4 linked regions of the Anolis sagrei genome follow. The protein of the gene in region 1 purifies or fractionates together with the protein of each later gene. This does not show direct contact. Links are inferred from orthologs where the notes say so. Each region holds a gene or a part of one and is shown in the gene's direction. Other genes may lie near its edges. The genes, in order: EGFR, LONP1, USP8 and SOS1.

Region 1 (7,978 bases):
GACCCCTGCTCTAGACAATGTTAATGGATCTAATAGATATAATTTTCCTCAACATCCATTAAAAATATTTGTGCTTTGGTGACCAAGAATTGCTGACAACCCCAGAATATGCTGTTTTGTCTAAAACTGAGATCTCTTAATCACTCATTTACTAGAAAGAATTGTGAGAAAATGTAGCTACTCAAATGTGGAATTGCCGTGTTTGCCTTGTCTTTTTTATTACATTCTTAAAGAATAAAGTTGTTGGTGTTTTGCTATTTTTTTCAACAAGGGCCTATTCTCTGTGAGATGTACATGGCCTCACCTCCTTCCCTTACTGCAGGAACCTCCTTCCTCGAAGCGGGTTCTTCCGGGATTTTCCCACCTTGAGGAAGGAATGGAAGAGGAGCCATCGTTCTCCATCCCCGGTGGTTTCTTCTCTCCTTCCTCCCTCCCTCTTCATAGCCCCCTATCCCAAAGCACATCCCAGTCCTGCCTGTCCCACACGCCACCTCAAGTGTATTTCTAAATATATGGAAGAAATGGGAGATCCATGTGGGAGCTGGGAGGATCCCAAAAAAATAGCTGAAATGCAAGAGTTCCTGAAAAATACAGAGAGTTCATCAATCTAATCAACACATATCAATAAAAATATATAAAAGATATATAAACTTCTGGTCAGAAGTTCCTGACAGTGGCCATAGGAAAGTCTTGTTGTTCATTCGTTCAGTCATTTCCAACTCTCCGTGACTTCATGGACCAGTCCACACCAGAGCTCCCTGTCGGTCGTCACCACCCCCAGCTCCTTCAAGGTCAATCCAGTCACTTCAAGGATACCATCCATCCATTTTGCCCTTGGTCGACCCCTCTTCCTTTTTCCTTCAATTTTCCCCAGCATCATTGTCTTCTCTAAGCTTTCCTTTCTTCACATGATGTGGCCAAAGTACTTCATCTTGGCCTCTACTATCCTTCCCTCCAATGAACAGTCAGGCTTTATTTCTTGAAGTATGGACTGGTTGGATCTTCTCGCTGTCCAAGGCACTCTCAGAACTTTCCTTCAGCACCACAGTTCAAAAACATCTATCTTCCTTCGCTCAGCCTAGGGAGGTCTACAGAGTGAAAATTCATATTTCCCAGAATTTAATATTTAGAAGTATTCTTTCATCCCCATACATAGACAGTCTTATTCACCATCAAATCCCTTTTGAGTCCTTTTGGGCGGATGGCCATTGATTAATTAAGTATTTCATCTGGTCTGTCCAGAAGTGCCCACAATTCAGAGTTACTGAAAGACCTTCAGTTCAAATGCTGTAAAAGAGGGAGGCACCTCTGTCTACCTCCTCTACACTGTGTATGCTCAAAGGCCACTCTTGCATGTTCCCCTTACGCTCTTTTAAATAAACGTAAAAACCACAGCATTGTGACCCTTCTCATAGATTTGCTCGAAGACCCAGATCATTTTGGTCCTACCATTACTACACCTTGATCTGTGTCATAGATTCAATTTCAGCTACTGATGTGGCTTTGAAAAAAAATGCTCAAGCTTTCTAAAGAAAATTGACCCTTTTGATTCTCCTTTCAGACTCTTTTTCTTACTGTGAGTGCTCAGACTGTAGAATTATAGCTCTGCAATTCCCCTTTAACTGCCACAATTGCATTCTAGGGATTTCCAGAATTTGTGGTTCGGTGAGGCACTAGAGGAACTCTCTGGCTGAGAAATCAAAATACCCCTTCCTAAATTATTTATTTGTCGTGTCAGGGCAACCAGTCAATTATATTACATTTCTAACAGAACAAACAAACAGACAAAATACAAAATTTGTGAGTTTGGTAGTTGATTAAATGTCCTTTGACCAGTATCTGGCCACTTGGAGTGTTTCTGGTGTTGCTGCAAAAAGGTCCTCCATTGTGCATGTGGCAGGGCTCAGGTTGCGTTGCAGCAGGTGGTCAGTGGTTTGCTCCTCTCCACACTCGCATGTCGAGGATTCCACTTTGTAGCCCCATTTCTTAAGGTTGGCTCTGCATCTCGTGGTGCCAGAGCGCAGTCTGTTCAGCGCCTTCCAAGTCGCCCAGTCTTCTGTGTGCCCAGGGGAGAGTCTCTCATTTGGTATCAGCCATTGGTTGATAGGGGACATGAGAGAAGCCTCCTCGCAGGATTGTAAGACATCCGGGCGTCCCCTGGGCAATGTCTTCGTAGACGGCCGATTCTCTCGCTCCAGAGGCAACCAGAAGCGACTTGCAGCATGCAAGCAAGCAAGCAAAACAACCAATGGACCTTTACAGGGGAGATGGTAGCGGGGTACAAATAAAGTATTATTATTATTATTATTATTATTATTATTATTATTATTATTCTGCGTTGTGCAAATAGCACTCCTGAGGAGCAAAGCGAAAACAGCGTAACCAGGCCCATAGCCAGGATTTTGATTTGGGGGGGGGGGGGGGCTAAGTTTGATTTGGGGGGGGCGAGTCTGAGTGAAAGAGGGTCTACCCTAGCAAACCTTTTGTATTGTTACCCCAATACCCCCATGCATATGGGATATATTGAGTATGGTGATCAGATCATGATATGAATAAACGTAACAGTTTAAATAATGCACCAGTAAGGCCTTCTCACGGACCACCATGAGAATTTCGGGGGGGGGGGCAAGCTCCCCCCCCCCCGCCTTCCAGATCCAGCTATCATACTTTTACCCTGAGGAAGCCACAGGGAGGAGGGAGCAAGCTTGTTTTCTGCTAGGGCGCGGAGACTAGGGCGCGGAACAATGGCTTCAAACTACAAGAAAGGAGATTCCATCTGAACATGAGGAAGAACTTCCTGAGTGTGAGCGCTGTTCAGCAGTGGAACTCTCTGCCCCGGAGTGTGGTGGAGGCTCCTTCTTTGGAAACTTTTAAACAGAGGCTGGATGGCCATCTGTCAGGGGTGATTTGAATGCAATATTCCTGTTTCTTGGTAGGGGGTTGGACTGGATGGCCCATGAGGTCTCCTCCAACTCTTTGATTCTATGATTCTTCTTCAGGCTAAACATGCCCAGCCACTCCTCAAAGGGCTTGTTCTCCAGACCCTTGATCATTTTAGTCGCCCTCCTCTGGACACATTCCAGCTTGTCAATATCTCCTTTCAATTGTGGTGCCCAGAATTGGACACAATATTCCATGTAAGAAGTGTAAAGGGGGGAGGATTCCAAACCCCTACTGTTTGGAGCTGGATCCCTATGGCAGGGGTCCACAAACTTTTTAAACAGAGGGCCATGTCACAGTCCCTCAAACTGTTGGAGGGCCGGATTATAATTTGAAAAAAAACATGAATGAATTCCTATGCATACTGCACATATCTTATTTGTAGTGCAAAAACACTTAAATGCAATACAATAATTAAAATGAAGTACAATTTTAACAAATATAAATTTATTAGTATTTTAATGGGAAGTGTGGGCCTGCTTTTGACTGATGAGATAGGATTGTTGTTGTTGTTCTGTGCTTTCAAGTCGTTACAAACTTAGGTTGACCCTAAGCGAGGGCCGGGTAAATGACCTTGGAGGGCCGCATTCGGCCCCCGGGCCTTAGTTTGAGGACCCCTGATTTATCGTGTCATCAGCAACCATTGTATTACAATTCTAACAGAGCAAAACAAACACACAGATTAAAAAGAAAAAGGAAAAAAAACACACAGATTTTGCAAATTTGGTATTTGGTTAAATGTCCTTTGACCAGTATCTGGCCACTTGGAGTGCCTCTGGGGTTGCCGCAAGAAGGTCCTCCATTGTGCATGTGGCAGGGCTCAGGGTGCATTGCAGCAGGTGGTCAGTGGTTTGTTCTTCTCCGCACACGCATGCCAAGGATTCCACCCTGTAGCCCCATTTCTGAAGGTTGGCTCTGCATCTCGTGGTGCCAGAGCGCAGTCTGTTCAGCGCCTTCCAAGTCGCCCAGTCTTCTGTGTGCCCAGGGGGGAGTCTCTCATCTGGTATCACCCATGAATTGAGGTGCTGGGTTTGGGCCTGCCACTTTTGGACTCTCGCTTGCTGGGGTGTTCCAGTGAGTGTCTCTGTAGATCTAAGAAAACTATGTCTTGATTTAAGGGATTTTGGCCTGCATCAATAGGAGCATAGTGTCTAGATCTAAGGAAGTAATGCTACCCCTCTATTCTGCTTTGGTTAGACCACATCTGGAATATTGTGTCCAATTCTGGGCACCACAATTCAAGAGAGATATTGACAAGCTGGAATGTGTCCAGAGGAGGGCGACTAAAATGATCAAGGGTCTGGAGAACAAGCCCTATGAGGAACGGCTTAGGGAACTGGGCATGTTTAGCCTGAAGAAGAGAAGGCTGAGAGGAGATATGATAGCCATGTATAAATATGTGAGAGGAAGCCACAGGGAGGAGGGAGCAAGCTTGTTTTCTGCTTCCTTGGAGACTAGGACGCGGAACAATGGCTTCAAACTACAAGAGAGGAGATTCCATCTGAACATTAGGAAGAACTTCCTGACTGTGAGAGCTGTTCAGCAGTGGAACTCTCTGCCCCGGAGTGTGGTGGAGGCTCCTTCTTTGGAAGCTTTTAAGCAGAGGCTGGATGTCCATCTGTCAGGGGTGATTTGAATGCAATATTCCTGCTTCTTGGCAGGGGGTTGGACTGGATGGCCCATGAGGTCTCTTCCAACTCTTTGATTCTATGATTCTATAAGTCGTTGATGTGCTGGCTGATACCCAAACAAGGGATGAGCTGGAGATATCTCTGCCTTGGTCCTTGAGAGAAGCCTCCTCGCAGGATTGCAAGACATCCGGGCGTCCCCTGGGCAACGTCTTCGTAGACGGCCGATTCTCTCGATCCAGAAGCAACCAGAGACGACTTCCTTGCAAGTGAACAAAACAGAAAGTAAATAAACTTGGCGGGCGAGCAACCCTAAAGGAGCGAATGCTGCACGCGGGAGGCGCGCGGGAGGGAACGCGCCTGCGCAGTGCGCGCGCGCTGCTCGCTTCAGCAGCCTTTGCCTCGCCTCAGCCTCGCCTAGCTTGCCTGACTGGAATTTCTGGCCCGTCCCTTCAGGTAGCAGCAGGCCCCGCCTGGGCGGGCTCAGGTATTGAGGCCAGTGGCGGACCAGAGGGAGAGCAGAGGGAGACCCTCAGCCTCGCGCGCGCAAAAGGAGAAAAGTTTTCCTGGGAGTTGAAGAGAGAAGGAGGAGGACCCGGCGAGAGGCGGAGCGGGGGGCTCCTCTCCTCCTCACTCACTCCCTCCCTCCTCCCCCCTTGGAGTTGTCATCCTCACATTGCAACAGTCCTCGGCAGGGCGAGCAGCGCGGCTGAGGCGAGGCAAGCGCCTTCCTTCCTCCTTCCTTCCTTCCTTCTTTCCTTCCTACTTGGCGGAGATGGGCTCGCTATGGTTGTCCTGTGGGGCCCTCCCGCTCCTGCTCCTGGCTCTGGCCGCCGCGGACGAGAAGCGAGGTGAGGAAAGCGCGCCTGAGGGGAAAGTGAGGCCGGGAAAGGGCGGGCGCTTGAGCAGAGAGAGGCCGGGGAGACGACTCAGAGGCATGGCCCTTCTGACAGGCAGGCATGGGCAAACTGTGGCCCTCCAGGTGTTTTGGACTTCAACTCCCACCATTCCTAACAGCCTCAGGCCCCTTCCTTTTCCCCCTCAGCCGCTTAAGCTTAAGCGGCTGAGGGGGAAAAGGAAAGGGCCTGAGGCTGTTAGGAATGGTGGGAGTTGAAGTCCAAAACACCTGGAGGGCCACAGTTTGCCCATGCCTGCATCCAGGTTGTGCAATAGTTTTGTTTTGTAGTTTTAACCCTCGTATATAATATGATTAGGGGTAGCATTTGATTTCGTTATGCTAAGGAGTGATTTCTCAGTTAGAATCCAGAAGGGGAGCCAGCCCATCAAGACTTAACTTGCAAAGTAATACAGAATGTCATATAATAATATAGCATTTCGGATCTTTCCAAACAGCGCATCACATAGTTTTTTTGTTTTTGCAATTCATTTTTATTGGTGAATGACATGGGCATAGACAAAATGTTGACATCTATATAAATAAAAATGTCTGGAAGGGCCCTGAGTGGTCATTCCGTTAAAAAGGTACTAGGAAATGGTTACATGGCATCATGATGATGATAATAATAATAATAATAATCTATATAAATAAAAATGTAATATTCGTTTGTGGGATTAACAGAACTCAAAAAAACACTGGACGAATTGACACCAAATTTGGACAGCATACTCCTAACAACCAAAGGAGTGATCATCACTAAAAAAAAACAAAAAAAACCCGATTTTGTCATTTGGGAGTTGTAGTTGTTGGGATTTATAGTTCACTTACAATCAAAGAATATTCTGAACCCCATCAACAATGGAATTGAACCAAACTTGGCACACAGTTCTCCCATGACCAACAGAAAATACTGCAAGGGTTTGGTGGGCAGTGGTTTTGGAGTTGTAGTTCACCTACATCCAGAGATCACTGTGGACTCAAACAATGATGGATCAGGACCAAACTCTACACAAATACTCAATATGCCCAAATGTGAACACTGGTGGAGTTTGGGGGAAATAGAGTCATCTAGCCATAGATGTAGATAGATAGATAGATAGATAGATAGATATGATTCACTCACACAGAGATATAGTATCATAGATTTGAAAGGGACCCCTAAAGAAGGACATTTATAAATTGCATGCTCCAGAGTAGCAAACTAGACAATCTCTACATCAACACATCAACAAAGAAACAGCAAGAAATACTGTTTACCCACAAGCATAAAGAAACTACATGTATTAGAAACCAACACTTTCTCATTACTTTATTTTCCAGATCAACAGACTGGGCCACAGCAACGCGTGGCAGGGGGGCCACTAGTGTAGTATAATAATATAGCATTTCAAATCTTTCCAAACAGCACATCACCGATGCATAGTTTTTTTGGTTTTTGCAATCCATTTTTATTGGTGAATGACATGGACATAGACAAAATTTTGACACACACACACACACACATATATATATATATAAATGTAATGTTCGTTTGTGGGGTTAGCATAACTCAAAAACCACTAGTCAAATTGACACCACATTTGGACACGGTACACCTAACAGTCCAACGAGTGTCCATCACCCCTAAACACACACACACACAAAACCCCAGTGGAACAGACTTAAAAACTCAAAAAATACACTATATGTACACATATACACATGCACACACATATACACATACAAGCACACACATACACACAATATGGATGTACACATAAACACACACACACACACACACACATATATATACAAACACACACATATATATACAAATATATACACACACTTAAACACATATATACACACATACAAAACACATATACACAGACTGGGCCACAGAAACGCATGGCAGGGGATGGCTAGTGTGTATGTGTGTGTGTGTGTGTGTGTATATATATATATATATATATATACTAGCTGTTCCTGCCACGTGCTGCTGGGGCCCTGATGGGGGTTCTGTGGGGGAGGTTTGGCCCATTTCTATCATTGGTGGGGTTCAGAATGCTCTTTGATTGTAGGTGAACTATAAATCCCAGCAACTACAACTCCCAAATGACAAAATCATTTTTTGAGTGACGGACATACCTACATTGGGTTGTTAGATGTCTTGTGTCCAAATTTGGTGTCAATTCATCCAGTGGTTTTTGAGTTCTGTTAATCCCACAAACGAACATTTCATTTTTATTTATATAGATATATATATATACATACACATACTGCACTGAGCCTCCTGCAGGCTGGGAGGGGCGGTATATAAATGTAGCAAATAAATAATATTTATATACATATACATATAAACACACACATTAATCAAAGATAAAAAGTCATTGACATGACTGCAATAGCTGGTTTCTATTACACTGAAAGTAGGTGAACATGGTTTAAAACAAAAGTAGGAAGTGAAGAATAGGGGTGAAAGAGGGAGGAGGGGGAAAAAAGTAAGGGAAACCAGTATCAAACATCTATGTAT
Region 2 (6,864 bases), on another chromosome or scaffold:
TTGTGCAAGGAACACAAAAACATTGGAATCCTTGGGGGATGGAAGGATCAGCCACAAATGGCTCTGCGACTATTATGCAAGGAACACAAAAATGTCAATTTCCCCACTCATAAAACAAAGGGGTTGAGACTATTTCACTATGTAGCAAAATTGGAAAACATTTTTGTTTCTTGCTTGAATGTGCTATTTCCTGTTTCATTGTTCAGAGAAGGAAGGAAGAACCAGCCCCAAATGGCTCTGCGACTATTATGTGAGGAACACAAATATACCAATTTTGTCACCCCCCAAAAGGGTGTGTGACTATTATGAGATTAAATATGGTATGTTTAAAAATGTAATTTTATAGATGTATTTAACTATGTTGTGCGGTCGTTATTTTGAAAGTAGTTCTCCTCCAGAAACTTCCGTTTTTGTCCCACAGTCTATGTTGTATTAGTTGAGATGTTCGTTGAAAAAGTACCACAAAATGTGTTACAGCACACAGAAACAAAGTTTTTGCAGTTTAATAGACTTTCCCAAACAGCTATAGTTCCCATTACTCAGGAGACACCAATGGTCCTCCCTCCAATGACACTGCAGGTTATAGTGAACACCATGAACATGTCCAGGAGCTCTGCTAATGTGCTCCACCAACACCACACTGCTCACCACCCAAGAGAAGGCACAACTTCATCCAGATTTTATGTGTTTCCTTCACCACAGACAACCCAGTATTTCGTACTCTCTCCATTGGTGTGGAATTTGCATGACCCTGCCCACTGCCTCTCAACCCTTTCTTATTCTTTTCTATGGCACACAACAGAGGAATTAATCACCAACTCAACATACTAGAGAGTTTTGGGGAGAATTCACCATGATTTATAGGAGTTGTAGGTACTGGGATGTATAATTCACTTGCAATCTAAGAGCACTCTGAACTTTACCAAAGATGGAATTGGACCAATCTTGGCACACAAAACATACTGAAGGGATTTGGAGGAGTTGTAGTTCACCTACATCCAGAGAACACTGTGAACCCAAAAACCGATGGATCTGGGCCAAACTTGGCACGCATACCCAATATGCTGAAATTGATTACTGGAAGGGTTTGGGGGGAAACTGACCTTCCTTTCTGGGAGTTATAGTTCAACCACAACCAGAGAAACTGACTTCCACCGATGATGGACCTAGTCCAAACTTGGCACACAGGACCCCCATGACTAACTCAATCTACTGGAGGGATTTGAGGGGACTGACTCACCATAGTGGGAATTGTAGTTCACCCGACGGTCAGAGAGCACACTGAACCCCACCGATGATGCATCTAGAGCAAACTTGCCCAACATAACTAACTTTAAGTGATGATGGAGTTTCGGGGGTTAATCTGACATGATATGAGTTGTAGTTCACCCACAACCTTATGTATTTTGTACAATTGCAATTTGACTTTTTAAAAGTAACCCTTGGGAAGTCTGATCTGGCCATGGTGGTCCACGCTCTGGTTACATCCCGAATAGATTACTGCAACGCGCTCTACGTGGGGCTGCCTTTGAAGCCGGTTCGGAAACTTCAGTTAGTTCAACGGGTGGCAGTGAGATTACTAACTGGGGCAGCATAAAGGGAGCATACCACCCCCCTGCTATGCCAGCTCCACTGGCTGCCGGTCCATCTCCGAACCCAATTCAAAGTGCTGATTTTGACCTATAAAGCTCTATACGGTTCAGGCCCAGCGTACTTGTCCGAACGCATCTGCCCCTATGTCCCACCTCGCAATTTAAGATCATCCAGGGAGGCCCTGCTCTCACTCCCATCAACGTGGGGCTGCCCTTGAAAACGGCTCAGAAATTTCAACTGGTCCAATGGGCAGCGGCCAGGATGTTAACTGGTGCTCCTTACAGAGAGAGGTCAACCCTCCTGTTCAAGGAGTTCCACTGGCTGCCATTTATCTTCTGAACCCAATTTAAGGTGCAGGTGCTAACCTACAAAGCCCTAAACGGTTTGGGACCATCCTACCTGCGTGACCACATCTCCGTTTATGAACCCTTGCGCTCACTTCATTCATCCGGAGAGGCCCTGCTCACGATCCCACCTGCGTTGCAGGCGCGTTTGGTGGGGACTAGGGACAGGGTCTTCTCTGTGGTGGCCCCCTGACTTTGGAACGCCCTCCCCAAAGATCTTAGACAGGCCCCTACGTTGGCAGTCTTCAGAAAGAACTTGAAGACCTGGCTGTTCCGATGTGCCTTTCCAGAATAGGAAAACTCCAACAAGTCCCAGAAGCACTTTATTAGAAATTAAAATTGCTGGCACACTGCACTTACCCTATAATCCTTACATATCACCTGTCACATCAGCACTTTTAATCTGTACCCATTACTCTGGCCCGGCCCCAGTTTTATTGTGTCCTGATGTATTGTTTTATTGCTTGTTGTTTAATATTGCTTTAACTGTTTTTAATTTGCTTTAGGTTGTGTATTGTTATGTTGTGTTTTGAAGCCTTGGCCTTTGTAAGCCGCATCGAGTCCTTCGGGAGATGCTAGCGGGAAACAAATAAAGTTAATAATAATAATAGTAATAATAATAATAATGTATTGTCGAAGACTTTCATGGCTGGAATCACTAGGTTCTTGTGGGTTTTTTTGGGCTATAGGGCCATGTTCTAGAGGCATTTCTCCTGACGTTTCTCCTGCATCTATGGCAAGCATCCTCAGAGGTAGTGAGGTCTGTTGGAATAAGGACAATGGGTTTATATATCTGTGGAATGGCTGGGGTGGGGCAAGGAGCTTTTCTCTGCTGGAGCTAGGTGTGAATGATTCAACTGACCACCTTCATTAGCATTTGAAGGCCTGGCTGAGACTGGGAAAATCTTTTGTTGAGAGGTGTTAAGATGTACCTGGTTGTTTCCTCTCTGCTGTTTTGCTGTTGTAATTTTAGAGTTTTTTTAATACTGGTAGCCAGATTTTGTTCACTCTAAAATTACAACAGTTGAAACATTCACACCTAGCTCCAGCAGAGAAAAGCTCTTTGCCCCACCCCAGCCATTCCACAGATATATAAACCCATTGTCCTAAAGACCTGGCTGTTTGAGCAGGCGTTCGAATAATTAGTGCAATGATTGGTTAATGAACACTGGAATGGAACAATGGATGACGAATCTGGAACATGTTTTTGATGACGAGACGACAGTGAATGGGTATTGTAGTAACTGTTTATTAATTGTGTAATGTGTTAGGTTGTTAACTGTTTCTATACTGTAGCACTGAATTTTTGCTGTTTGTATTTGTTGTGAACCGCTGTGAGTCGCCTTCGGGCTGAGAACAGCGGTATATAAATAAGGTAAATAATAATAATAATAAATAACCCACTGCGCCACCGGGTTCTCCTTGTAAATAAATAATAATAATAATACCGTGGCCAAGTCAGGCTTCCCAAGGTACGGGCGCAGCTGGCACACAAGTTTTAGGTGTGCGAATGCTCCCCTGGTCACCGCTTCCTAAGATCTGCAGAGACGCTCACAGGAACACTTCAGCAAGCGAGAGTCCAAAAGTGGCAGGCTAAAACCTGGAAGCTCAATCAAATGAGAGACTCCCTCCTGGGCACACAGAAGGCTGGGCAGGGCCAACCTTCGGAAATGGGGCTTCCAAAGTGGAGTCAACAACATGCGGGTGTGGAGAAGAGCAAACCACGGGCCACCTACCAGCCTGAGCCCTGCCACATGCCCCATGGAGGAGGACCTTCTCTCAGCCACACCAGAGGCACTCCAAGTGGTCAAAGCAAATCTAGTGTCATGCGTGCGTGATGACGTCTGACGCCAGTTTGCTTTCGAGTCGGCCTGCTTGCCTGACTCCCGGCGTCAGCGTGCGTGATGACGTCCCGACGCAGCGCAGTTTTGTCATTCCGCGCGCCGGCAAGATGGCGGCGGCTGCTGCCTCAGCAGCACGCGCGCTCCGTCTTCTGTGGCGCTGCGGGCGAGCGCCGCCTTTCTCCTCCCCGCTACGAGCTTGCCGCGGCCGGCTGGCCTTGACTCGAGGCCCCAGGCTCCCGTGGGCGGAGTGGGCCTCTTCTCCGCGCCGTTTCCTGCTCTCCCGCGGCGCCTCCTCCTTTTCCTCTTCCTCCGGGGACGGGCCTGAGGGGAGCGAATCCGGAGGGGAGGGCGCTGGCTCCGGCGATGGCACCCCTCCGGTCGTGACGGCGCTGGCGCCCCTCATGGTCCCCGAACACGTCCCACAGGTGCCCCTCGTCGCCGTGGCTAGGAACCCCGTCTTCCCGCGCTTTATCAAGATTCTCGAGGTGAGTGGCTCCACAGGATCCCATAGAATCATAGAATCAAAGAGTTGGAAGAGACCTCATGGGCCATCCAGTCCAACCCCCTGCCAAGAAGCAGGAATATTGCATTCAAATCACCCCTGACAGATGGCCTCTGATTCAAAGCCTCCACCACACTCCTGGGGCATAGAATCACAGAATCATCAAGTTGGAAGAGACCTCATGGGCCATTAAGTCCAACACCCTGCCAAGAAGCAGGAATATTGCATTCAAATCACCCCTGACAGCTGGCCATCCAGCCTCTGTTTAAAAACCTCCAAAGAAGGAGCCTCCACCACACTCCGGGGCAGAGAGTTCCACTGCTGAACGGCTCTCACAGTCAGGAAGTTCTTCCTCATGTTCAGACGGAATCTCCTTTCTTGTAGTTTGAAGCCATTGTTCCGCGTCCTAGTCTCCAAGGAAGCAGAAAACAAGCTTGCTCCCTCCTTCCTGTGACTTTCTCTCACATATTCATACAGTGCTATCATATCTCCTCTCAGCCTTCTCTTCTTCAGGCTAAACATGCCCAGCTCTTTAAGCCGCTCCTCATAGGGCTTGTTCTCCAGACCCTTGATCATTTTAGTCACCCTCCTCTGGACACATTCCAGCTTGTCATTATCTCTTTTGAATTGTGGTGGCCAGAATTGGACACAATATTCCAGGTGTGGTCTAACCAAAGCGGAATAGAGGGGTAGCATGACTTCCCTAGATCTAGACACTATGCTCCTATTGATGCAGGCCAAAATCTCTGCATCTATGCAGAGATAGATAGATACAGAGAAAAATAGATGCACAGATAGATAGCAGATAGATACAGAGATAGGTAGATGCAGGCATTGATGCATAATAGATTCACAGACAGATAGGAGCACAGATAGATAGAGGTATAGATTGTTGCATAGACAGATATAGATAGATGCAGAACTAGATAGGTAGATAGATGCACAGATAGGTGGATGGATAGATGCAGAGATAAATAAATATAGAGACAGATAGGTAAAAAGATGTATAGATGCAGAGATGTATAGATGCAGAGATAGATAGGTTGATAGATAGGCTGATGGATAGATATATGCAGAGATAAATAGATGCAGAAACAGATAGGTAAATAGATGGATAGATGCAGAGATAGATAGATGCAGCAATAGATTGATGGCTGGATAGATGGATGGATAGATGTAGAGATAGATAGGTAGATAGATGCAGAGATAGATGGATGGATAGATGCAGAGTTAGATGCATGCATGCATAGATAGATGGATAGATGCAGAGAAAGGTAGATAGATGCATGCATAGATGGATAATAGATGCAGAGATAGGTAGGTGCACAGATAGGTAGATGTATAGATAGATATAAATAGATGCAAAGATAGATAGTTGCAACGAACGATGCATATGTAGTTACATGAATAGATAGATGCATTCATAGTTACAAAGATGATAATAATAACAACAACAACAATAATAATACAAACTGAACATCTCAAGGATTTGAGCACAAAGACCTTGGATAGGATTCATTCTAACTGGAGCTTTCTGCCCACAGTATCAGATTTTGCTTAGTCCTTGAGCCTTGTTTTTCTCTCTCTCTCTGTGGCCTTCAGTCATGGAATTTGTCAAATTACACCATGTAACACATTTGTTTCTTCCTGAGTTATCAATGTCATTTTCTAATTGGTTCTATCATTAAAGACATGGAAAAAGTTTATTAAACGACATAAATTTTATTTTGGCAGAGGGACATCCTGCAGGAGATTTTGCTCTAGTTTTTCAATGAATATCTTATTGAGTCTCGACCAATTTAACGTAGTTTGTGGCCACAGAAACAAAGTTTCTGGAGTATGACAATTACTTTCAAAGTAGGTACCGCACAAGTAAACGGGAAATAACACTTTCAAACCAGAAAATGTTTTCATATTTTGTTACATTGTGTAATAGTCACCATCACATAATAGTCTCACCCCTATTTTTCGGTTGGGGAAATTGATATGTTTGTGTTCCTTGCATAATAGTTGCAGAGCCTTTTGTGGCTCATCCTTCCTTCCCCGAAAGCAAGGCAGTTTACAAAGTATAAAACTGACGTCTCTAGAGCTCCTCTCTTCATTCCTCTCTCCTTCTTCAAGGACTTTTGGCAGTTTAGAACAGCTGAAATAGAGATCTTTGGAACTCAGATCTTTCCTCCTTTCTCCAAAGAGCATTTTTCTTTGTAATAAGCTCCTTTCATCCTTAGAAGTACCAAGATATCCTTCTATATTTCTGGTGGTCTCATCAATGTTAGAATTGACTCCCAAGTTAGTTAGTCATTGATTGAGATTTCAGTGTTGTTTCATCATCTCCGTTGCCCTTTGCTCCTCCTTTGAGGAGAGACGTTGGCTTCACCGAACCAATAATTGCTTCTTTGTTTTCTATATTTGTGAGGAAAATGTGACTGCTGACCTTCTCCTCTTCAACCCAAGGTTATCTTTGTCAACTTGGTTTCAAATTTATGTATTTTTCCAACTGCTAAAAAAAGGGCCAAATGAATGGAACAATTCTCAAAGATTCTGCGGAATGTCACAAAAGGCCTTCCTCCCCACTTTTTTT
Region 3 (7,546 bases), on another chromosome or scaffold:
GCCATATATTCTAGTTCAAAACAGATAATTTGGGATTTTATTCAGCTGTGTGGAAGGGGTATGAGACAAGGTCTCATCTACACTGTCATGTAATCCAGTTCAGTGCAGATAATCTGGATTCTATGGCAGTAAAAATCCATCCAGAAAGAAGTTTGGTAGTAACAGCTTCCATTGCTGTGTGCATTAAAGAAAGTTCGTTATTATTTATTGTTTATACCCATTTTTCTCTCTCCACAAATGAGATTCAAAGCAGCTCAGAGATGCATATAGTCAGTTTCAAGTTGGATTATCATTGATCAATGTAGAGAAAAGAGTGAACTGTGTTCCAGATCTTACATTGATCCAGTTTACAGGTGAGATTAATCATTCTTATGCAAAGCTATTCAGGTCCATCAGAAGTGCTTTGTTTCCCAGACTAGGCTAAAGTCACTCTTCTGAAGGGAACTAAAAGCAGAGATAGGTGACTCCAGAATGGTAACGAAAGATTATAATAATGTAACAGTGCAAGTGCTTGCAATTTTAAACTATGTAAAACAGCCCAACAAAAAAAATATTAGTGTGTCTTGGTTTTTAGGTTTATTCCCAGGGTTCTTTGGGGTGCTGATTCAGAAAATTGCACTAGATAGACTGCATTATCTCTAGTTTCTTAAATAGGGTTATCCTGATTTCTATGGACAAGTAGATTGTGACTGTTAGATAGCATCTGTCTCAAGAACCAGAACTGCTGGGGGGAAACTGGTGGCATTTTTGGAAACAATCTGCCAAATATACCCAGAAACAGGGGAAACATTCAAGGTACCAAATGTGTGGTGGTCAGTTTTTTAAGTAACTGGACTGGAGGAAGATCAAGGTCCTTCTATACTGCCATAAAATCGAGTTAATAAAACCAAGTTATAACGTTTTGTGATCTGGAGTCTCTTTTCCCTAATTACACTGACTAAATTACCAACTTGTATTTAGTGCTGTGTGTTATGACGTGTTTGGAGGAACTGATCTTTGTACTGAAGCTTGCATAGCCATAGAGCTTTTATGGTGACATGTTCACTGTTGACTCAAATATTCATTATTTTATTCGTAAATCCTGAGTTCTTCCCTACATTGGGCTCAAGACAGCCTACAAGAAAATTAAAACAAAATATGATTAAAACATACAAAAGGTAAAAAAAGAATGGTAAAAACGGTGCAAAATAATTTCAAAATTGTTTTGATTACTGAAAACCTTCATGCAATAAATCACACATTTTAACCTCAGTTTTACAAAAATTGTACTAGACTGTAGGTAAATCTAACTGCAGTTCTTTTGGTACAAAATGGAAAATGCTGATGGAAAAAGGCAGTGCATCAAGTTGTAAACATGACCTTCAGGAAAGTGCAGTCATATTTCCAGATACCTTGCCCTAGCAATAATACTGATCACTTCCGTGTGCTTCTGAAAGCGCATACAGATAGAATATCTGAGTAACCTTGGTAAACTAGTTTACTTATAGTCAAAGGATACTCTCAGTAGTATGAATATACTCAAACAGGCTCAAAATCGCAGAGAAAGTAAATTCAGGCCTGAGTCTACATCTGCCATATAATCCTCTTCAATGTGGATTTTATACAGCTGTGTGGAAGGGTTCAAGGGGCCTTCCGCAATACCCCGCTATCCCAGGATCTGATCTCGGAGCCCTTCCACACAACCATATAACCAATAATATCAAGGCAGAAAATTCCACAATGTCTGTACTAGAGGCCCTTCCAGATCCTATATCTCAGGATCTGGTTCCAGGGTTTCTGTTTATTCCAGATTAGCTGGCAGTGTGGACACATAATCTAATTTAAAGCATAAAACCTGGAAACAGATCCTGGGATAGAGGGCCTGTCTGGAAGGGCCCTGGGTCACCTGAGGCCCCTTTCACACAGCTAAATCATAGAGTTGGAAGAGACCTCATGGGCCATCCAGTCCAACCCCCTTCCAAGAAGCAGGAAAATTGTATTCAAAGCACCCCTGACAGATGGTCATCCAGCTTCTGTTTAAAAGCTTCCAAAGCTATTATACCTTTTCCAGAATGCACCAATAATTAGGAACAATAGATTATTTAACGCCTGGAATAAAGAAATATTAAAATTTATCTGGAAAGGGAAAAGACCGAGAATAAAATATGGATATTTGACTGACGCGAAGAACAGAGGAGGGCTAGGTCTACCAGATCTAAACCTCTATTACGAAGTGTGCGGTCTAAGCTGGATAAAAGATTGGATCTTACTAAATAAGGAGAAAATACTAGAATCGGAGGGTTTTGACCTGGGAATTGGCTGGCACGTGTACTTCTGATACGACCAAATCAAAAGGGATTTTTTTTAAACAACCATTGTTAGATCTGTGCTAATGAAAATGTGGGCCAGATTTTATTTATTATTTATTATTATTATTTACTTCGCTTATAGACCGCAATTCTCAGCCCAGGGGCGACTCGCTGCGGTGTACAACATAGAAAAACAGGTGCAAAATACAAGACATAGTGTAAAATAATCCACAATTCATCATTATCAAAAACATCCTCATCAAAACATCAACATTACTACAAAGCCATTCCGTGTCATCTCATCGTCAAACCCACAATCCGGTATCATTTCCGTTATTCCATTCCTATGGTCAATTTACCAATCATTGCACATCTTGTTCAAATGCCTTCTTAAACAGCCAGGTCTTTAGTTTCCTGCGGAATATCAACAGGGAGGGCGCTAGCTTCATGTCTACGGGAAGGGTGTTCCACAGCCGAGGAGCCACCACCGAGAAGGCCCTATCTCTCGTCCCCGCCAGCTGTGCCTGTGACGCAGGCGGGATTGAGAGCAGGGCCTCCCCCGGAAGATCTCAAAGTCCTCGTGGGCTCATAGGCCGAGAGGCGGTCAGTTAGGTATCTTGGGCCGGAACTGTTTAGGGCTTTATAGGCCAACGCCAGCACCTTGAATTGAGCCCAGTAGCAGATCGGCAGCCAGTGGAGCTGGTACAGCAGGAGAGTTGTATGCTCCCTGCGTCCTGCTCCTGTTAGCATCATGGCTGCCGCCCGTTGGACCAGTTGGAGCTTCCGGGCCGTCTTTAAGGGCAACCCCACGTAGAGAGCGTTGCAGTAGTCTAAGCGGGATGTAACCAGAGCGTGGACTACCGTGGCCAAGTTAGACTTCCCAAGGTACGGGCTAAACTTTACCCAAAGATTCCTTTGTGGATATCCCCCCTTGAAGCAGGACAGAGAAGGTTATTGGGATGGTCCAACTGGCCCATCTATAAGGACATTTTAATAATAATAATAATAATAAAAAGGTAATCTGCAACTGAAAACAAGGGAGGAAATTGCCCAAAGCTTTAGCTCAGTTTCATGGTTCCAGTTCTTACAACTAAAGGATTATTTATTTATTTATTTATTTATTTATTTGGGGTTCTTTTACCCCGCCCTTCTCACCCCGAAGGGGACTCAGGGCGGCTCACAAAAGCAAGGCACAATTTGATGCCTGCATCATAAAAACAATCAACACAAAATTACATCAATACACAGTTAACACCAAATATACATTATAACCATAAAATCAATAAAACCAAATACAAACCCAGTTTCTCCTCTTGCATGGTCAGCGTTTGCTACTCATAGATCTAGTTTTACGTTCCACTTCATCAATCCTGCTGGTCTTACTCGCCTGGTTGTCTGATTTAATTGCCCGAGTGCCCAAAGGCCTGGTCCCATAACCAAGTCTTCACCCTTCTCCTAAAGGCGAGGAGGGATGATGATGCCCTGATTTCCCCCGGGAGTGTGTTCCACAGGTGAGGGGCCACCACTGAGAAAGCCCTGCTCCTCGTCCCCACCAGCCTCACTTGTGACAGTGGTGGGGTCAATAGCAGGGCCTCCCCAGATGATCTCAGACTCCGAGGCGGGATGTAGAGGGAGATACGTTCGGACAGATACACTGGACCGGAACCGTACAGGGTTTTGTAGGTCAAAACCAGCACCTTGAATTGTGCTCGGAACTGAATCGGCAGCCAGTGGAGCTGGCATAGCAGGGGGGTGGTATGCTCCCTGTATGACGCTCCGGTGAGCAATCTGGCTGCCGCTCACTGGACTAGTTGAAGTTTCCGAACAGTCTTCACGGGCAACCCCACATAGAGCGCATTGCAGTAGTCTATTCGGGATATAACAAGAGCGTGGACCACCGTTACATCTTCTTAATACTTATATTAATACGTTAATACTTCTTCTTCTTCTTCTTCTTCTTCTTCTTCTTCTTATTATTATTATTATTATATCCTGGGTTAAAAGCCAGTTTCTGAACTTTTGTGTTTTGGACTGCAATTCCCAGGATTCCTCTCCATTGGACAGGCTCGCGGGGCCTTCTGGGATTCGAAGTCCAAAACACTTAAAGAGGCCCCCACAGTGTGTTGCTTATTGAGTAGGCTTCGGACGCGCCTGTCGTCCAGGTCCCTTGGGGAGCGCGGGCGTCTCGTTTTCTCTTCAGGCCCGCCACGGACACCTCATCCCTCTCGGAGGCCCCCACCGCCGCTTTCGGACACTTCCGGCGGCCCAGCCCCTTTCGCGGAAGTCCCGTCTCCCCGCCCCTCAGTTCCGCCTCGGCCGGCCAACGAGAGGCGAGAGAAGCTCGGGCTGCCTTCCTCCCTACCTTCCTTCCTCAGCTGCTCGGGTGCCGGGAGATGGGCCTAGCCCTGAAGGGAAGCACAGCGAGGCCGGGGCCGGGGTGAGTCCTCCTCTAGAGCGAGGGGAAAGGCCTGCCGGGCCTGGAGAGGCCTGCTCTGCGCCTCAGAGAGAGAGCCAGAGAGGGTTTGGCCCAAGGGAGGGAGAGAGGGAGGCCTTTCAATTGGAACGAGAGCTGTTTCAAGTGAGCCCTCTTTAACTGCCACGGCCCAGTTCAGTGGGCACACTTGAAACTCCCAAGCATTCCACAAGGCAGTTAAAAGGGTCTCAAACTGCATTAATTCCACGGTGTGGCTTAGGTTCAAGGTGAGTTCAAAAGCTGACTTGTCCCACCGAAGCTTGGGTTTCAAGGGCACTTCACAGGTGAAGAAATCTGCAAGAGAATACTTTTATTGTATTGTCGAAGGCTTTCATGGCTGGAATCACTGGGTTCTTGTGGGTTTTTTCGGGCTATACGGCCATGTTCTAGAGGCATTTCTCCAGACGTTTCGCCTGCATCTATGGCAAGCATCCTCAGAGGTAGTGAGGTCTGTTGGAACTAGGAAAAAGGATTTATATATCTGTGGAATGACCAGGGTGGGGCAAAGAGTTTCGGGGTATGGTGTCATCTGTAGCAGATGATGTCCAACTCTGTCACTCCTTCCCACCTGCTACTAAGGAGGCTGTCGAGGTCCTGAACCGGTGCTTGGCCGCTGTGACGGTCTGGATGGGGGCGAACAAATTGAAATTGAATCCAGACAAGACAGAGGTACTCCTGGTCAGTCGCAGGGCCGAACAGGGTATAGGGTTACAGCCTGTGTTAGACTGGGTCGCACTCCCCCTGAAGACACAGGTCCGCAGTTTGGGTGTGATCCTGGACTCATCGCTGAGCCTGGATCCCCAGGTTTCGGCGGTGACCAGGGGAGCATTCGCACAGTTAAGACTCGTGCGCCAACTGCGACCGTACCTTGGGAAGTCTGACTTGGCCACGGTAGTCCACGCTCTGGTTACATCCCGCCTTGACTACTGCAACGCTCTCTACGTGGGGTTGCCTTTGAAGACGGCCCGGAAGCTCCAACTAGTCCAACGGGCGGCAGCCATGGTATTAACAGGAGCAGGACGCAGGGAACATACAACTCCTCTGCTGTACCAGCTCCACTGGCTACCGATTAGCTACCGGGCCCAATTCAAAGTGCTGGCTTTGGCCTTTAAAGCCCTAAACGGTTCTGGCCCTACATATCTATCCGAACGTATCTCGGCCTATCAGCCCACCAGGACCCTAAGATCTTCGGGAGAGGCCCTTCTTTCCATCCCGCCTGCTTCACAGGTGCGGCTCGCGGGAACGAGAGACAGGGCCTTTTCTGTGGTGGCCCTGCGGCTTTGGAATGCCCTCCCTATAGAGATAAGATCAGCCACCTCGCTGATGGTATTTCGGAAAAAACTGAAAACATGGATGTTTGAGCAAGCATTCGGCTAATCCGATGCGATGAAGTTTTTGATCAAGGACTGGCAATCACAGACAACGAAACTGGATTATAACTTTAATTAAGAGATGCATTGGTCTGTATTGGTGGCCCAATACTGTGTATTGTATATGTATGTGTTTTATATTTTTAATCGAAATATTGTTGTTTTTAAATGTTGTAAACCGCAATGAGTCGCCGTTTTAGGCTGAGATATTAGCGGTATACAAGTGTACTAAATAAATAATAAATAAGAACTCTTGTCTGCTGGAGCTAGGGGTGAATGTTTCAACTGACCACCTTCATTAGCATTTGAAGGCCTGGCTGAGCCTGGGGGAATCTTTCGTTGAGAGATGTTAAGATGTGCCTGGTTCTTTCCTCTCTGCTGTTTTGCTGTTGTAATTTTAGAGTTTTTTAATACTGGTAGCCAGATTTTGTTCATTTTCATGGTCTCCTCCTTTCTGTTGAAGTTGTCCACATGCTTGTGTATTTGAATGGCTTCTCTGTGTCGTCTGACATGGTGGTTGTGAGAGTGGTCCAGCGTTTCTGTGTTCTCAAATAATCTGCTGTGTCCAGATTGGTTCCTCAGGTGCTCTGCTATTATTATTATTATTATTATTATTATTAACTTTATTTGTACCCCGCTAGCATCTCCCGAAGGACTCGATGCGGTTTACACAGGCAGAAGCCTCAGAACACAATACAGTAAAAACATAACACAACAATAAACAAAGCAAATCAAATAGTTAAGCAAAATAACAACAACAGTAACGATGCATCAAGACACTTTAAAACTGGGCCGGCCAGCGCAATGGGGTACAGGGTTAAAAGTGCTGAAATGGCAGGAGGAACGCAGGATTAAAATAGTGCGGTGTGCTATGGCTGACTTCTCTGGTTGAAGTAGTCTGCAGTGCCTTTCATGTTCCTTGATTCGTGTTTGGGCAACGCTGCTGCATTTGGTGGTCCCTATGTAGACTTGCCCACAGCTGCATGGTATACGGTAGACTCCTGCAGAGGTGAGAGGATCCCTCTTGTCCTTTGCTGAACGAAGCATCTGTTGGATTTTCTTGGTGGGTCTGGAGATAGTTTGTATGTTGTGTTTCCTCCTCAGCTTCCCTATGCGGTCAGTGGTTCCCTTGATGTATGGCAGGAACACTTTCCCTCTGGGTGGATCTTCATCTTTACTCTCGTGGCTTCTTCTCGGTTGTCTTGCAGCTCTTCTGATGTCTGAGGTGGAGTCTCCATTGGCCTGGAGAGCCCAGTTTAGGTGGTTCAGTTCATCTTGGAGGAGGTGGGGTTCGCAGATTCTTTTATTCTCTAATATTTATTTATTTACTAGCTGTCCCCTGCCATGCGTTGCTGTGGCCCAGTCTGTTGATCTCTAAAATAAAGAGAGAAAGTGTTGGTTTCTAATATATGTAA
Region 4 (7,723 bases), on another chromosome or scaffold:
TGGTGTATTCCCTGTACCAAAAATCCCATGCAATATGCCGGGGTTTATTCAGGAAACACATTAATTTCTCTTAAGGCCAGAAGCTTAAAACCTACTGCCATATGGGAATACACCCACAGAACAACTGTTCTTCGTATGAAAATGAGTTGTCGGTTACCGCAGCAATGAATTAATTGTCTTAATTTGGCCTTTTTTCTTTTAAAAAATATTTGGCCTTACTACTGTTTTTCACATTTTCCTTTTAATGTCTTAACACCCGGCCAAAATGATTTAGTTACTACCTCACACAAACAATTTAAATGATTTATTACACATCACAGGAATTTTTAATTTTGAGCGAAAAGATTTTTGATTGTTTTCCAATGCAGTAATATGTATATGCCAAGTTTTAGCTGGGAAATGCACATATTGGCTTTTTTTGTATATGTTCTTTATACTGTGATATAAACTAAGAATAACTACATTAAAAGTGATTTATGGTCTGTATCGATGTTGTTGGTAATGCTTTTGGATATTTCCTAATGTATATAATGTAAAATAAACTTTTTTTAACATGTTTGTTGTATATCTGGATTGCCATCTGCACTCATTTTCTGAAGAAATTAAACATCTGAGGAATGGACAAAGCATCTTAACTAAAATACTGTAATGGAGCATAAAATTAGGCAGTCTCTTAAAGGTCATCTACCAAACCACTTCATAAACTTTGGGTCTTTGCTCAGTGTTGGTGTCATAAAACATTTGGCAACAATAAAGTTTCTGAATGCTACCCATTTACATGAGCCTGCTAGCAACAACATGCAGTCTTTACAGTGGACTCTGCAGAAAATGCTTCAGCTGTAGTTCATAAAAAGAAAGATCAGCCTGAAAATACTGATGTATTATCAGTAAACATTAGAGTTTTACAGTTATATGTCTAGGGTCATGTAAAAGTTTCTCAGGTAGAAAGCGGTTGTGAGTAATGGTAAAGAAATGGTGAAATATTGCGTAACACTCAAACTATCCTACAAATATGATCTGACTATTTTCCCTACAGTAATATAGAATTTCCCCTCCCACCAGTAATAAGCTCTGTTCCAGTCTTCGGCCCAGTACCAGCTATCACAGTCACTGAAGTAAATGCAGCCATACAAAGAAAGAAGCATAGAAAGGCCACTGGCCCAGATGACATACCAGCTGAAATTTGGAAAATGCTCAAAGACTGTGGTGCTACATTTCTAGCATCACTATTTTTTAATTTTTATTGTTTTATAGTGTACACAAGAAGCAAAGCAGACAACAGAAAAACAAAAAAGGGAAAAAAGAGAAAAGAAAAAAAGATCTACAAAAGAGCAAGCAAGTTTACACAAAGGTATATAGTCAGCGCTCATTAAACTTATGAAAAATCAAATTGGACTATGAAGTCACATAGCTGTTGCACCAATGGATAAAGCTACTATACAATGATACAAGTATGGTCAGCTGCCCTGCAGAGATTTCACCACCCTTCAACATCACTGTTGGCGTGCTTCAAGGATCAGCACTCTCAACATTACTATTCAGACTCTGCATGGACTAGGCAGACTATGTGTCCCTGGACTCTCATATATGCAGATGACCTAGCACTTGGTCATTGAAAACGTGCAGCCTTTGTTTCTAGCGCCCATTTTTTGCTTGATATTCAGGCAGTGCTTCTTGTAGGTCAGAGCACAGTCCAGAGTGACTCCCAGGTATTTCGGTGCGCTGCAGTGCTCCAGTGGGATTCCTTCCCAGGTAATAATCCTCAGAGCTCGGGATGCTTGTCTGTTCTTAAGGTGAAAGGCACATGTCTGTGTTTTAGATGGATTAGAATCAGCTGGTTTTCCCTGTAGTAGGCGGTAAGGGTACTTGTGCTATGAGCTTCTGTTCAACCATCTCAAAGCTCCCTACTTGAGCGGTAATGACATAATCATCGTCCTTAAGATTTTTTTTTTGTCAGGAGTGACTTGAGAAACAGCAAGTTGCTTCTGGTGTGAGAGAATTGGCCGTCTGCAAGGACGTTGCCCAGGGAACGCCCAAATGTTTTGATGTTTTATCATCCTTGTGGGAGGCTTCTCTCATGTCCCCGCATGAGGAGCTGGAGCTGGTAGAGGGAACTCATCCGCACTCTCCCCGGATTCGAACCTACGACCTGTTGATCTTCAGTCCTGCTGGTGCAGGGGTTTAACCCACTGTGCCACCCAGGGCTCGTTGTCCTTAAGATAAAACTCAGGGTTAAATAGGCCTGAAACCAGGTTCTTGTGGGTTTTTTCGGGCTATATGGCCATGTTCTAGAGGCATTTTCCCCTGACGTTTCGCCTGCATCTATGGCAAGCATCCTCAGAGGTAGTGAGGTCTGTTGGAATTAGGAAAATGGGTTTATATATCTGTGGAATGTCCAGGGTGGGGCAAAGAACTCTTGTCTGCTGGAGCTAGGTGTGAATGTTTCAACTGTCCACCTTCATTAGCATTAGAAGGCCTGGCTGAGCCTGGGGGAATCTTTTGTTGAAAGGTGTTAAGATGTGCCTGGTTGTTTCCTCTCTGCTGTTTTGCTGTTGTAATTTTTGAGTTTTTTAATACTGGTAGCCAGATTTTGTTCATTTTCATGGTCTCCTCCTTTCTGTTGAAATTGTCCACATGCTTGTGGATTTCAAAGGCTTCTCTGTGTAGTCTGACATGATGGTTGTTGGTGTGGTCCAGCATTTCTGTGTTCTCAAATAATATGCTGTGTCCAGGTTGGTTCATCAGGTGCTCTTCTATGGCTGACTTCTCTGGTTGAAGTAGTCTGCAGTGCCTTTCATGTTCCTTATTTATTTATTTACTTTGCTTATATACCGCTGTTCTCAGCCCGGAGGCGACTCACAGCGGTTCACACACAGTAAAAACAGCAATAATTCAATGCAACACGTAACAATAGACCACTTAACACATTATCCACTAATAAACAATAAGCAATTATAATAACAGTTATTACAATAACCAAACCCAATCGTCTCATCGTCAAAGCCTAGTCCAGGTTCATTGTCCATTGTTCCATTCCTATGTTCAATTACCAAATATTGCACTAGATTACTCGAACGCCTGCACAAACATCCAGGTCTTAAACTTTTTTTGGAATGCCATGAGGGATGGTGCCAGCCTAATGTCCGTAGGAAGGGTGTTCCACAGCCGAGGGGCCACCACCGAGAAGGCCCTATCTCTCGTCCCCGCCAACCGTGCTTGAGAAGCCGGCGGGATCGAGAGCAGGGCCTCCCCGGAAGATCTCAAAGTTCTGGTGGGTTCATAGGAGGAGATGCGTTTGGACAGGATTTGGGCCGGAACCGTTTAGGGCTTTATAGGCCAACGCCAACACCTTTAATTGAGCCCAGTAGCAGATCGGCAGCCAGTGGAGCTGTCGCAACAGGGGGGTTGTATGCTCCCTGCGCTCCGCTCCTGTTAGAATCATGGCTGCCGCACATTGGACTAATTGAAGCTTCCGGGCCGTCTTCAAGGGCAGCCCCACGTAGAGAGCGTTGCAGTAGTGTAGGCGGGATGTAACCAGAGCGTGGACTACCGTGGCCAAGTCAGACTTCCCAAGGTACGGGCGCAGCTGGCGCACAAGTTTTAGCTGTGCAAATGCTCCCCTGGTCACCGCTGAAACCTGGGGTTCCAGGCTCAGCGATGAGTCCAGGGTCACACCCAAGCTGCGAACCTGCGCCTTCAAGGGGAGTGCGACCCCATCCAGCACAGGCTGTAACCCTATGCCCTGTTCGGCCTCGTGTTTGGGCAATGCTGCGTTTGGTGGTCCCTATGTAGACTTGTCCACAGCTGCATGGTATACGGTAGACTCCTGCAGAGGTGAGAGGATCCCTCTTGTCCTTTGCTGAATGGAGCATTTGTTGGATTGGCCTGAAAACGCATCTCCACCTATGAACCGATGCGGACATTAAGATCGCTCTCGGTCCCGCCTGCGTCACAGGCACGGTTGGCGGGGACGAGGGACAGGGCCTTCTCGGTGGTGGCCCCTCGGCTATGGAATGCCCTACCTGTAGACATCAGACGCTGCTGGCGTTCCGGAGGAAGGTTAAGACTTGGCTCTACGAGCAAGCGTTTGGCTAAACAGTGCAACTGAACACAGGAAGACGGTAAAATTGAACATAGGAATGGCACAAGGATTATGAGAATTGATTTTGTTCTGTTATCGAGGCGTCATGAATTGATAATAATTGTTGATTTTGTTGTTGTGTATGATGTGTTTTTAACTGTTTATTGTTGTGATAACCTGCATTGTGTAAACCGCATTGAGTCGCCTAATTAGGCTGAAAAATGTAGAAATAAAGCAAATAAATAAATAAATAAAACCAATTTGTTGAAAAGGCCTGAAACCCTTTCAGTATTGAAATGACTAATAAAAAAAATACTTGAGTCCTCCAGGCCGCAGGTGGCGCTGTGATCAGAAGGGGTAGGTGGCGGTATGACAAGAGGTGCTCTGCTTTGCTGTCTTCCCTCCACCACCGATCATGAAAACACTTCGGCGTTCGACTAGCAAGCCTGGAAGTGGCGAGGGGAGGGGGAGCAAGGTTGTGGAAGGAAGCTCGAGGGCTCGGCTCTCGACTCGCACGCCTGGACGGCGCGGAAAAGGGAAGAAGCGAGGCCAGGACTGGAGCGAGAGGGGGGCGGAGCCAGAGGAGGAGGAGGGGAGGGGGAGCGCGCCGCGACTGCGCATGCCCGGTCGGCCTTTGTGCCCACTGCGCACGCGCCGGAGGTTGCAACCGTCAGGGACGGCAAGGGAAGCGCCCCCGAGAGTTCGAAGCCCTCTTTGGCTCCCTCCCTCAGCCACCGTTGCTTTGCGGCCTGCACTTCCGCTTCCTTCCTGTCAGGGCCGAGGAGAAGCAGAAGGAGAAGGATGCCGGAGAGCCCGGGGTCTGCGTGAGGCGAGGCCGGGAAGGGAGGGATGTCGCCGGCGCCGGGCCTCCACGCCGGGTCCTGGCCCCAGCCTCAGCCTCAGCGGCGCCCTCCGCCTCGGCCCTGCGCAGGTTCGGCCCGGGCCCAGCGACAGGGACAGGCCCCACCAGGCCGGGCTGGGCCCCAGCACTGACTCCGCCGCTTCCCCGACGCCGAGGGCCCGGGACGGGGCGGGCAGGATGCAGGCGCCGCCGCTGCAGTACGACTTCTTCAGCGAGGAGAACGCGCCCAAGTGGCGGGGCCTGCTGGTGCCCGCCTTGAAGAAGGTGAGTCCCGTGTTTCCAAGGAGGAGAAGCAGGGCATCTTCTCATGTTTATTTATATCCCGCTTTGTGTCTCCCTAGGGAGACTCAAAAGCGGTTCGCAACTCAAGCGTGGCAATACAACCTCAAATATACACGTATTAAACGTCATTGAAAGCAGGTCAGATCACTGACTAGATCTCCAAAACGGAGATCATGAAACAAAGCTAGAAGTTTGTTGTTTAACTTCAACTCTGGCCCCTTCCACACAGCTAAACAAAAACCTATAATAATAATACAACGACGGATTCTCCCCTATGAACCATCAAGGTTGTTAAAGATCTGGAGGGGCCCTGCTCTCGGTCCCACCTCCTTTACAATCGCGTCTGGTGGGGATGAGGGACAGGGCCTTCTCGGTGGTGGCCCCTCAGCTCTGGAACTCATCTTCTGATGTTTATTTATATCCCGCTTTGTCTCTCCATAGGAGACTCAAAAGCGGTTCGCAACTAAAGCGTGGCAATACAACTTCAAATATACATGTATTAAACGTCATTGAAAGCAGGTCAGATCAGTGACTAGATCTCCAAAACGGAGATCATGAAACAAAGCTAGAAGTTTGTTGTTTACCTTCAACTCTGGCCCCTTCCACACAGCTGAACAAAAACCTATAATTAATTAATTAATTAATTAATTTTACTTCTATACCACTGTTCTCAGCCCGGGGGCGACTCACAGTGGTGTACAACATAGGAACAGCAAAATTCACGACACAGTATAAAAACAATTCACAATCCAGCATTATACAAAAACATCATTACTACGAAAACCATTCAGCGTCGTCTCATCGTCCAAACCACAATCCAATATAATTTCCCGTTGTTCCGTTCCTGTAGTCATTACCAACCATTGCACTTCTTATTCGAATGCCTTCTTGAACAACCAAGTCTTTAATTTCCTGCGGAATATCATCAGGGAAGGTGCCAGTCTAATGTCCACGGGAAGGGTGTTCCACAGCCAAGGAGCCACCACCGAGAAGGCCCTATCTCTCGTCCCCGCCAGCCGTGCTTGTGAAGCAGGCGGGATCAAGAGCAGGGCCTCTCCGGAAGATCTCAAAGTCCTGGTGGGCTCATAGGTCGAGATGCGGTTGGATAGGTATCTTGGGCCGGAACCAGTTTTGTATACTGGTCTTCTTCTCACCTCCGTTCGAGGGACTCAGGCCGGTTTCCAACATCAATATTACAGACAGTCATTAAAACATCATATTCTAAATCACACTAAAACATTAAAATAGCAAAATACAATCATATAATTGCAGTGGTCAGTCATCATCAAAAATCATTATTCATCGTCACCCATCCATGTCACAGGATCATGGCTCATTCGTCGAATGCCAATCCCCAAAGCCAAATTTTCACCTGTTTCCTGAACGTTAAGATAGAAGGGGCAGTTCTGATCTCCAGTGGAAGGGAGTTCTAGAGTCAAGGGGCCACCATCAAGAAGGCCTGGTCTCTCGTCCCCACCAGCCGCGCCTGTGAGGCCAGTGGGATCAAGAGCAGGGCCCCTCCAGACGATCTTAGCAATCTTGATGGTTCATAGGGGAGGATACGTTCGGACAGGTAAATTGGGCTGGAGTCGTTTCGTATTATTATTGTTATTATTATTATTATAACAACAACAACAATAACAACGGATTCTCACCTATGAACAACAACAGATTCTCCCCTATGAACCATCAAGGTTGTTAAGATCTTCTGGAGGGGCCCTGCTCTCGGTCCCACCTCCTTCGCAATCGCGTCTGGTGGGGACGAGGGGCACGGCCTTCTCGGTGGTGGCCCCTCGGCTCTGGAACTCTCTCCCGTTGGAGATTAGATCTGCCCCTTCCCTCCTGACTTTCAGAAAGCTGGTAAAATCTTGGCTTTGGAATATAGCATTTGCAGAATGATGATTGAGTCAATAACGGCTGACCATACTGGCAGATGGTGATGAATTTGTGATTTTACTCTGACGACCTGGATTTGTAATTGTATGATCTGTATTTTAATGTATTTTTGTATTAATGTATTATGATGCTATTATGTTTATTCTATGTGTGTATGAATTTTCTGCTGTTAGCCGGCCTGAGTCCCTCTTCAGAGGTCGAGAAAACCAGGTTATAAAAGCTCTAAATAAATAAAGAAACTTTATTTTTGTGCCCCACCTCCATCTCCCTGAAGGAGCTTATGGTGGCTTACATATGGCACAATGTGCCTAAAGCAACGCATTAAACATACCATAGTCAGTTGTTCAGCAATTTTAAAAACTTGACATTATACAAAATTTCCTTTGACCAGAAGTTGGCCATGTTGGGTGCCGCTTTTATTTATTTGGTTTTTTATTATTACAACACTTTTATGCCGCCCTTCTCACCCCAAAGGGAACTCAGAGCGGCTTACAAGATATATATATATATATAATATATTATATTATTAGCATAGCACAATATCTGTATTATATATTACTATATTTATTTTATTTATTTTATTTTATTGACATCATTTTACC

What was found.
Region 2: the proteins of EGFR (region 1) and LONP1 purify together in Homo sapiens (affinity purification with mass spectrometry; 3 studies listed by BioGRID and IntAct, with this or other methods). This does not show direct contact. The link is inferred for Anolis sagrei from reciprocal best matches to the Homo sapiens genes EGFR and LONP1.
Region 3: the proteins of EGFR (region 1) and USP8 purify together in Homo sapiens (affinity purification with western blotting; 6 studies listed by BioGRID). This does not show direct contact. The link is inferred for Anolis sagrei from reciprocal best matches to the Homo sapiens genes EGFR and USP8.
Region 4: the proteins of EGFR (region 1) and SOS1 purify together in Homo sapiens (affinity purification with mass spectrometry; 14 studies listed by BioGRID and IntAct, with this or other methods). This does not show direct contact. The link is inferred for Anolis sagrei from reciprocal best matches to the Homo sapiens genes EGFR and SOS1.

Annotation. Positions count from the first base shown.
Region 1 is NC_090026.1:66,069,794-66,077,771, forward strand, and holds the start of EGFR (epidermal growth factor receptor), read left to right. Parts: upstream 1-4,972; 5' UTR 4,973-5,343; coding exon 5,344-5,419; intron 5,420-7,978. UniProt on the Homo sapiens protein: Receptor tyrosine kinase binding ligands of the EGF family and activating several signaling cascades to convert extracellular cues into appropriate cellular responses.
Region 2 is NC_090034.1:58,402,852-58,409,715, forward strand, and holds the start of LONP1 (lon protease homolog, mitochondrial), read left to right. Parts: upstream 1-3,852; 5' UTR 3,853-3,888; coding exon 3,889-4,266; intron 4,267-6,864. UniProt on the Homo sapiens protein: ATP-dependent serine protease that mediates the selective degradation of misfolded, unassembled or oxidatively damaged polypeptides as well as certain short-lived regulatory proteins in the mitochondrial matrix.
Region 3 is NC_090029.1:32,021,570-32,029,115, reverse strand, and holds the start of USP8 (ubiquitin carboxyl-terminal hydrolase 8), read left to right. Parts: upstream 1-4,543; 5' UTR 4,544-4,725; intron 4,726-7,339; 5' UTR 7,340-7,415; intron 7,416-7,546. UniProt on the Homo sapiens protein: Hydrolase that can remove conjugated ubiquitin from proteins and therefore plays an important regulatory role at the level of protein turnover by preventing degradation. Converts both 'Lys-48' an 'Lys-63'-linked ubiquitin chains.
Region 4 is NC_090021.1:22,282,388-22,290,110, reverse strand, and holds the start of SOS1 (son of sevenless homolog 1), read left to right. Parts: upstream 1-4,703; 5' UTR 4,704-5,120; coding exon 5,121-5,207; intron 5,208-7,723.